Nothobranchius furzeri: one gene and its partner. The protein of the gene in region 1 interacts with the protein of each later gene in a biochemical or structural test. Links are inferred from orthologs where the notes say so. Each region holds a gene or a part of one and is shown on either strand. Other genes may lie near its edges. The genes, in order: araf and gna12a.

Region 1 (4,342 bases):
CCCCCCCCCCCCCCCCCCACGGCTGGAAACTTTTCTAGGGAAACACTGCATCGTGTATTCTAAATATTCTACTTAGCTTGAAACTTTACATTTTTTACATATATAGTCCTGGCTGGGCCACTGAGTTCAGCAGCTACTCTCACACTGGGGCAGAGAAACATAGAAATCTCATAATGACGAAGCTCATCACGCTAAATAAAAAAAACGTGATTTTTAGACATGTAATCCTACATTGGAACAATATTATTAGCATCTAGTAATTGGCAAGAGGACAGTAACAACTCCATGGTGAAATATATCATAATTAGGGGTGGGCTGTTATTGGTGTTAACATGCTGCGTCAAGGCCAGACTCTCATCGCACGATAAGGGGGTGTGCAGATTCACCATTTAATCGAGGCATCGTGATGTGACACGTGCCGATTCAAAGTTTATTTGTAAACATTTACAAATAAATGCCAAAAATCTTCTGCAAAAAGTAGCAGGAACATAAAAGTTACACATGCCGCCTGGACACTTTAGGGGGCGGACCAGCAGAAAAAAAAACCAAACAGCAGGGATAGCAGCTTTTTACTCAGCTTCAGCCACTGAGGGTGGGATTGACTCGCCAGGATTAAAGGAGTGAAACACTAAAAAACATTGTCATGATTATTTATGATTATAATCAGTCATTCTGATTTTTTCATGCAGGTTGAACATGAAAATAGTCTCCTACACCTATCTTCTGCATTAGCTTCTGATAGAAAATAGACAGTAAAACTCTAGGATAAGAAAATCCTGACAGATCTACGCCACACTGTCACCTAACCCCTTCTTTCCACGGGAGCCGTCAGCAGCACGTTACTGCAGCAGCACGTCATAGCTGCTGATAGGAACCGCTGTGGTCAACAGAACCTTTTCCACTGGAGCCGTCAGCAGCGCGAGTCGGCCGCGTCTCAGGAGCAGCATGTCGCGGCCTTTACGCGCCGGTTCTACTTTCTACGCACGACGCCTCTGAAACGGGTCAAGTTCAACATTTTTGGGGAAGGAAAGACAGGAAATCGGACGCGGAAATGGAGAGAAGCTCCCGAGATTTTCAGAATAAAGAAACGTACTTCATTCCGGTTGCTTTACTTTTACAAAAGTTACTAACTGTGCGTCCCCGTGAGAAGTTATCACCTAGTTAGCGGTCTCCTTTGTTTTTCAGGTCCGTATTGGCGATTATAAAACAGACAGAACATAAAACACAAACATTTTGGAGCCATGTTGTAGTTTTCTCCTGCTTGTTGTTGTGTTTACTGACGACGTCACTCGTGTGACTTTGTGCTCTGTCGGTGACAGCTGCTCCCCTGCTGCTTCGCGTCTCGTGGGAAGGGCCAAGCAGCAGCTTACGCGAGCAAGATGTGCTGCTGCAGTAACGTGCTGCTGACGGCTCCGGTGGAAAGAAGGGGTAACGCTCATGGATTCATTCATCTTGACTCACGATGGAGAAGGCTCTTGTTGGATTAGCATCCAGGAAACAGCAGAGAACATCTCTGCTAGTAGAAGCTAGCTAACTGTTAGCATTAGTAACGCTCCAACATGGCAGAACTCCTTCAGGCTAGTGTAATTAGTAGAGATAAAATATCTATATTGCAGCCCAAACAGAGTCAGTGGTAGAGACATGTTGCTGTTACCCAATCAGAGGAGAGATGTCCAGATATCAGGAAATAAGACTCCAAATTCTGCAATCTAAATACCTTCTCCATCTGACTGGTACTTCCTGAAACTGGTGCATCGGAGCCTCCCTGCTGCTCTTGCTCCTGGAAAGCACACTGAATTGCTACTGTGTATGACTGTGCTATACAAGTAAAGCAGCCTTGTCTAGAGATATTATATACAAGGATGTTACAGGGGTCTCTGAATGACCATGGAAGGTCAAGGCTCCAGGCCCATCTCTCTGTACTTCATGCCATCACAAGCTACTGAAACATAATCATTATTAAACTTTAATTGGGAAAATGTCCCGATCAACCTCCACCCACAAAGTTCTGGTGGAGGAGATCCACCAGAACTTTATTGGACATAATTCCCAACAGGCTCATCTGCAGCAACAGTGACCCAGAGGTAGACACTGCACATTTGGATGACCTTTAAATTAATTAGTCTTTGGGAAATGAGTAACCATATTTCCCTCCTAACTTTTCTGCAAATCTAACATTTATAATAAAATGCAAAGGAAGTGTTCATGAATGCATTCAATGCCGGTTTCCCATCGAAGGCCATCTTGAGCTCCGTAAAAGAAACTCGTTACTCTGTCCTGGTGTGTCAAGTTTTTCTGGCCCACATTAAAGTGTGAAAACTGTTTAAATTTGTTTCTGGTAGAGTAAACCCATTGCGGCACATCCCACAGTTCCCAGTAGCCACTACAGCAACCAACGGGGCATGCGCAGAGCGTGGACCGTGTCCTTAGAGCAGCTAATCAGACGTAAGTGTGGCGGAGCTTTACTTTACCGGAGCTCCTGCTAGCCGGTCTCCATTTGCTCCAACAACTGGGGTTTTCTGAGGCCATAGTTCTCTCTGGCGCTACTTAACAAAACTTTAGCTAAGTAGCCTGTAACTTTTAAGAGGCTTCTTTGGTTCACGGACACAAAATCACACATGTAAATAATGTTGAGTTTAAATGCTATCATTTGTTGATAAATCTCAAATTCGAGCAAGCATCTGCAAAGCTAAACGTTAGTGGATAAGATTATCTCCGATTCCGCACACCGTAAAGCGCTTGGATGCTAGGCGGCTAACATTAGCCAAACCTGTGGGGATTCGCCGACCCATCGCGCCGGTCTGGTGCCTGCTTCCCGGAACACCGACCCATCCACTGACACGCTCAGCACATCACGAACTAGTTGGGTGGCTAAAAGTTACTCCGACACGTCCCAGTTCGGATGTGTTTCCAGACAGTTTGATTAGTTAGTCTTACCTGTGGCAGCCATCTTGAACGCTCTCAATCTGAAGTCGGATCTGTCAAGAACTTCAGGGAAAGTAGGAAAGCACCATGCTGCGTTCTCATTGGCTGATCTCTGTGCTCCCACTCGCTCATTGGACAGATCAAGGCTGGGCATGTAGGGGGCGGTCCGTGGCCGCTTTTCATGTCTTCAATTGAATAGAACAATTTTTCATGTATTAGATTTATTTAGCGCTTTTCAAGGCTCCCAAAGCGATTTACAGCTAACCCATTACTATTCATTCACACACTTTTCATACTCTGCTGAATGAAGAAAAATTAGTTTGTTTTGGTGCAATCATTAAAGGGGATATTTCATATGTTTACTTAGACATTTAAACAAGAAATTATTGTTTGATGGTTTATACAAAACATGTACAAGAAATTCTTTGCACAAAATCGCTCTCACATAAAGTAATGTCACCAGTTAATTTTTTTTAGGTTTTCAGTGCCTTCCATAATGAGCTGTGCCACTTTAATGTAAATGAACTGTTGCTGGCCACACCTACCACTATGACGTCAGGAGCTCAGATAGCTGGTCTTCGATGTAAATGTTCTATTTTGCAGAGGCGTGACCAAGTCACTGCTTTGCAAGTCACAAGTAAGTCACAAGTCTTTCCAGTCAAGTCCAAGTCAAAGGCAATCAAGTCCAAGTCAAGTCCAAAGTCAGTGATGTGAAAGTCCAAGTCAAGTCCAAGTCCTTAACTTTGAATTTTCAAGTCGTAATCAAGTCATCTGTCCAACTTCAATTTAATGACAATGATAATAAATAAAATCCAGAAAAAAAGCTTCTTAAAGCTTCATTTATTTGCTCAAACAAGCAGGAAGTGCAACTGAAACTGATTATAAACAAAGTGCTGCTGCATTTAGCAGTACAAGATCAAACCCAGAATGAAGAATGATTTATGATTTTTTTTCCATGTCATGCCACTTTTGTTCTAAAATATCAAATATGCTCAAGTCATCATCAAGTCAGCAGGTTCAAGTTGATTCAAGTCGCAAGTCATTGGCATTCAAGTCCGAGTCAAGTCGTAAGTCATTATAGATTTTATCAAGTCAAGTCAGAAATCATTAAAATAATGACTCGAGTCCAAGTCATGTGACTCGAGTCCACACCTCTGCTATTTTGCAACATCACAAGAAGGGATGGGTCCCGGGTCGCTGGGTTCCAGGCTCGGTTGGCTTGGGGGTGGGAGGCTGCGGGCGGGCCTGTGGGCTTGCCACTGATATCTCCCCGGACTCTGCCGGCTGCTGGTTGTGTCCCCCTGGGGCAATCCTCTGCGCCTCTCGAGAGGGGGGCTTTACTGGTTACAGTCTCCCTGGGGTCCCTGCGCTCTGGGGCAGCTCATGGATCTCTGGGACTTGGAGCTCCCTCTGTCTT
Region 2 (4,578 bases), on another chromosome or scaffold:
GGTGGGCAGGACGATGCAACAAATTGGAGCAATTAAGATAAATGACCTGCACTTGTATAGCGCCTCTCAGAGTAAGGACTCCAAAGTGCTTTACACTACAGTGTATCATTCATCCATTCACACACTGATGGTGATGAGCTACAATGTAGCCACAGTTGCCCTGGGGCGCACTGACAGAGGCGAGGCTGCCGAGCACAGGCACCACAGGACCCTCCGACCACCATTAGCAGGCAAGGTGGGTTAAGTGTCTTGCCCAAGGACACAACAGCAGAATTATCTGTCCGGAGCCGGGATCGAACCTGCAACCATCCGATTACTGGACAACCCGCTCAACCTGTTGAGCTACTGCTGCCCCTAAGATGGTGATGGCTCATTTGAAACGGCTTTAGCATCGACTTTGGACTATTTAGACTTGTGCTTTTCTTTGAGTCAAGGGAAGATAGAGGTACTACATTCCTTTGTTTAGAAAAATTAGGTATTTGTGTCTTCTTCAACAGTGTATGGTGGACTGCTCTGTTGATTGTCAGAGGTGAGTATGTAACAATGTTCATTGTCCAATAGCATGCAGAGACAGTTTGAAAGACAACCACAGATTTCACCCTATAGATGATCTCTCTCTCTGAGTTGTGGCCAGACTATATATTCACATATATAGGGTGGCTTGCCAGGCTATTTCTGAAACAGTCCAGGTAAGAAGGGATGCGCCGCTGAAGTCTCATGAAAATGCTTCAGCTACATACAGGAAAAGCCTGGGTTGGTTAAAACAAAAAGTTGGTTTACATTTCTGTCAAAGAAAGAGTAAATGCCAAACATTGTAAGAAATATTCACAGAAATTTAAAAAAAAAAACAACAATTTGACGTTTTAATCCAGATCCCAAAAAATCTGAGCAGTAAACAAGTTGATAGCTATGAACTTCTGACCTGCGCTGCACCAAAAACAGAGATGACTCTGGAGTTTGAAATAATAAACACGACTTAGTTTCAGAAATAATAACAGTAAACTGGTTAACGCCAAACAAATGACAAGAACACACTTACATCCTCTGAAATAAAGAAATGAAATTAGCAGGAAAAGTCAGTTTTGTGTAAAGAATCAAAGTTTCAAACACCCAGCTTGTTATCAGGAGGGCATTTCCAACACAAACATCTGTGCAAATGCAGATCCTTGCCGCTAATGTTGCACAATATCTACAGTTCTAGCGCCATATGCTGCCATCTAAGCAGGATCCTTTAAGAACCCGCTTAGTTCAGCAAGATAAACTTCAAACCTCATCAACATGTATTAAGAGTCGAAAAGTGTGTGTGCTGATCTGCAGTTCAGACTTCCACACACAGTGGATAACATTTGCCCACAAAGTCACATGTTTTACTGAGATCAATACAATGCATTGCTTAATTTCCTGCAATCTTTAAATGGGTTATTGGTTTCAGATTTTTTTCAAAACTGTAAGAGGATGATTACGCAGGAGTGTGTGAATGGATGAATGATACACTGTAGTGTAAAGCGCTTTGGAGTCCTTACTCTGAGAGGCGCTATACAAGTGCGGGTCATTTATCATTACGCAGGAGGAGGATTGTGTTTGGGATCTGACTTGAGACAGGACAGCAGCTCGTGTTTGGGGGAGGGTTATGAATGCTGTCTTGTCTGTGTTGGAGTGCAGGCTCTTATCTCCCTAGTCTGGGCTGTATGGTACTCAGGGCGGATGTGCTCATCCCTCAGGAATAGTCTGGTATTGTTAGCTGGTGAAGGAGGCCCAGTCATGACGGCAAACAAAAGAACACACACACACACACACACACACACACACACACACACACACACACACACACACACACACACACACACACACACACACACACACACACACACACACACACACACACACTTCAGGATAAAAATATGCACTGTGTCAACAGAACTCGCATGTGTGTTTTAGAGAGTGAGTGAATCACACCTTGGTTAAAATGGCTTTAAATTATTGACCTATAAGGCATCATTTAACCTAGAAATAATTTCCTGGTTTAATAAATACTTTTAGAACAAAAGTGTCTTTACACAGAAAGGGGTCAAAGTTCATACCTGTCTCTTTGACTATTTGAAAACAACTTATTGTTTGTTTTATTCAGTTTCCCACCATGAATGATACAAAACATCTGACCTCTGTAATTGAGAAATAAACTGATGTTTACCTTATCAGCAGTAATGTTGTTGCTCTATACCTCATCTAGTTGATTAATCAATAAAATCAAAGTGTTGATCAATATCAAATGTAATGATCCTTTATTATAAATGATCTGATGACTTTTACAGGTTTAACCTACTTTTTCTGATAAATAAACGTCACTGTGACCTGATAAAGCATGAGTGAACTTTGTTCCTACCTTCAGTATATTTTCATAGATAGTGTCCCGAAAGTCCAGGAGCGCTTTCTGATCAAACTCTTGTCCGTTAATGATGCGCATCTGCTTCAGGAATGTGGACTTTCCGCTCTCTCCGGCCCCGAGGAGGAGGATCTTCACCAGACGCCTCACGGCTCTCCTCTCCCGGGCCAGCATGGCGTCTATCTCCCGGCTCCTGCGCCTCGCCTCCCGCTCCTGCGCCGCGTCCCTCTGCCGGCTCCCCTCCTTGCTGCCGCCCGGGTCCCGGCTGGCCTCGGCCGGGAGCAGGCAGCGGCTCAGGGTGCGGACCACTCCCGACATGGCGAGTCGTGAGAAAGGAAAAAAGTTTACCGAAACTCCAGTGGGAAAATGTTCATTCTAGACTCGTGACCTCTGGGGTGGAAACGGCCCAGTTCGGCTACATCCAGCGGGTTGTAATGTTACATTAAACCTTTATCTAGACTCCCCCCGGCAGACAGCCCGTGTCCATCTTGGTTAGACCGCTCCATCAACAGGAAAACAACTCTCTAGCTGGAGAAACTAATCCTTGAACGCTTAAAAGTCCAAATTAGGGACAGAAAATGTGGTTTAAACTGACCTGAAGTTAGTGTATCCATGCAAAGAAAAACAATGCTTCAGGCAGGGAAATCTCACAGTGGGACAGCCTAACTACCCAAGCATCCAGCGGTTTGTGAACTAAGAGCAGCCCCCCCGCGGGCGGCAGGGGACGGTCACAGGACGAGGGGGCGCCGGAGGAGTACCGGAGCTCACCGACAGGGGGCGCCAGCGGAAACAATGAGCAGTGTAAATGAAGGGATTTTAGTGGTTCTGTTGATTTTGTTTACTAGTAATGATAAAGTTCCATTTTTATAGAGCACCTTTAACAGCGAATTAACAAGTAGAATTTACTTATGGAAAAAATGAGACAGTGGCGTGAGAAGCATGAACATCTTTAAAAAAATACTGGTGCAATACAAAAATTAGAAGATGGTGCAAAAGTTCTTTTATGTTTTTAAATTAAACTTAAAACGTGAAACTGATACAGGAGACAGACTCATTCCATGCAAAGCCAGATATTTCAAGCCTTTATATGTTATAATTGTGATGATTACGGCTTACAGCTTATGAAAACTCCACATTCAAATTCTTACACATAATATTGTAAAAGGTTCAATATTCTAGACTCAAAGTGCCGCTCACTAATCAGCTAATGAATCCAAACACCTGCAAAGGGTTCCCGAGCCTTTAGATGGTTGCTTCATTTAAACTGGATTACTGGATGAATGGACTTTGGCACCTTATTCTAATTTTCAAGTTTCAGTTGTAGACCAGAAATCTTTGTATTTGTCTGTTGTAGAAACGTGAACCCACGATGTCATGTTTACATATGCTGCCTTGTTGGATATTTGGAACCTGACTCTGAACACACAGGATCTCATGGTGAAGATGCTACATCACCTCAAAATGAAGTAGTGCATTATTCCTGCAGCATTTATATATGCAGCATAATTCTGATTTTGTTTGCTATGTTTAAGTGATGTTTGAAATGCAAAACACTGCAGCATACTATAGTGTGCATGTGTGAGTGAGTGAACCAGTGACTATTTTGCACACAGCTAAAGTTAATCTATGAAGCCACTGCTTCAAGTCATAAGTTTAGACTTTTTAAAAGTTAGCCTACATTGTTTCTCTTTGCATTTTGTGAAAGAAGAGCTATACTATCCTTAGTTGCTTCAGACAGTGCAGTGATTGAGGATTTGCATTATCACACTGAGATACCAGTGTTTTTCAGTATAAGCCATGTGGTCATCCAACATGTTATTGCATGGTTGGGACTGCATGATGAGTGCACAAATCTTTGTTGGATTGGCTCTTTAAATGTTTTAGCTTTCTTTAAATGACCTTAAAACCTGACCAAACACTGCATTATTGTATGATAGGCCGCTAAGACGAGGAGCATGTATGAAGGGAGGGGCGATTACAAGGTGAAAAGAGCTGGGCTGATTCAAAGAAAGCCAGCGCAGGTGTGAAAAATCAGCTGCAAACTGCAGAGGCTACAGAAAATGAAACACGGAGAAAAAGGATGCATTGAAAATAATAAACTAAATACATAAAATCTGAAGAGCCACTTTAATCCTCAGAAACAGTGACAGTAACTTTCAAAAATAATAGAAACTAAAGCAAAAACCTTTTCCCAA

Evidence for each region.
Region 2: the proteins of araf (region 1) and gna12a form a complex in vitro, tested with the Homo sapiens proteins (2 studies listed by BioGRID). The link is inferred for Nothobranchius furzeri from reciprocal best matches to the Homo sapiens genes ARAF and GNA12.

What each region holds. Positions count from the first base shown.
Region 1 is NC_091757.1:26,541,311-26,545,652, forward strand, and holds the start of araf (serine/threonine-protein kinase A-Raf), read right to left. Parts: upstream 3,013-4,342; 5' UTR 2,938-3,012; intron 1-2,937. UniProt on the Homo sapiens protein: Involved in the transduction of mitogenic signals from the cell membrane to the nucleus. May also regulate the TOR signaling cascade. Phosphorylates PFKFB2.
Region 2 is NC_091744.1:16,146,989-16,151,566, reverse strand, and holds the start of gna12a (guanine nucleotide-binding protein subunit alpha-12), read right to left. Parts: upstream 2,933-4,578; 5' UTR 2,702-2,932; coding exon 2,384-2,701; intron 1-2,383. UniProt on the Homo sapiens protein: Guanine nucleotide-binding proteins (G proteins) are involved as modulators or transducers in various transmembrane signaling systems. Activates effector molecule RhoA by binding and activating RhoGEFs (ARHGEF12/LARG).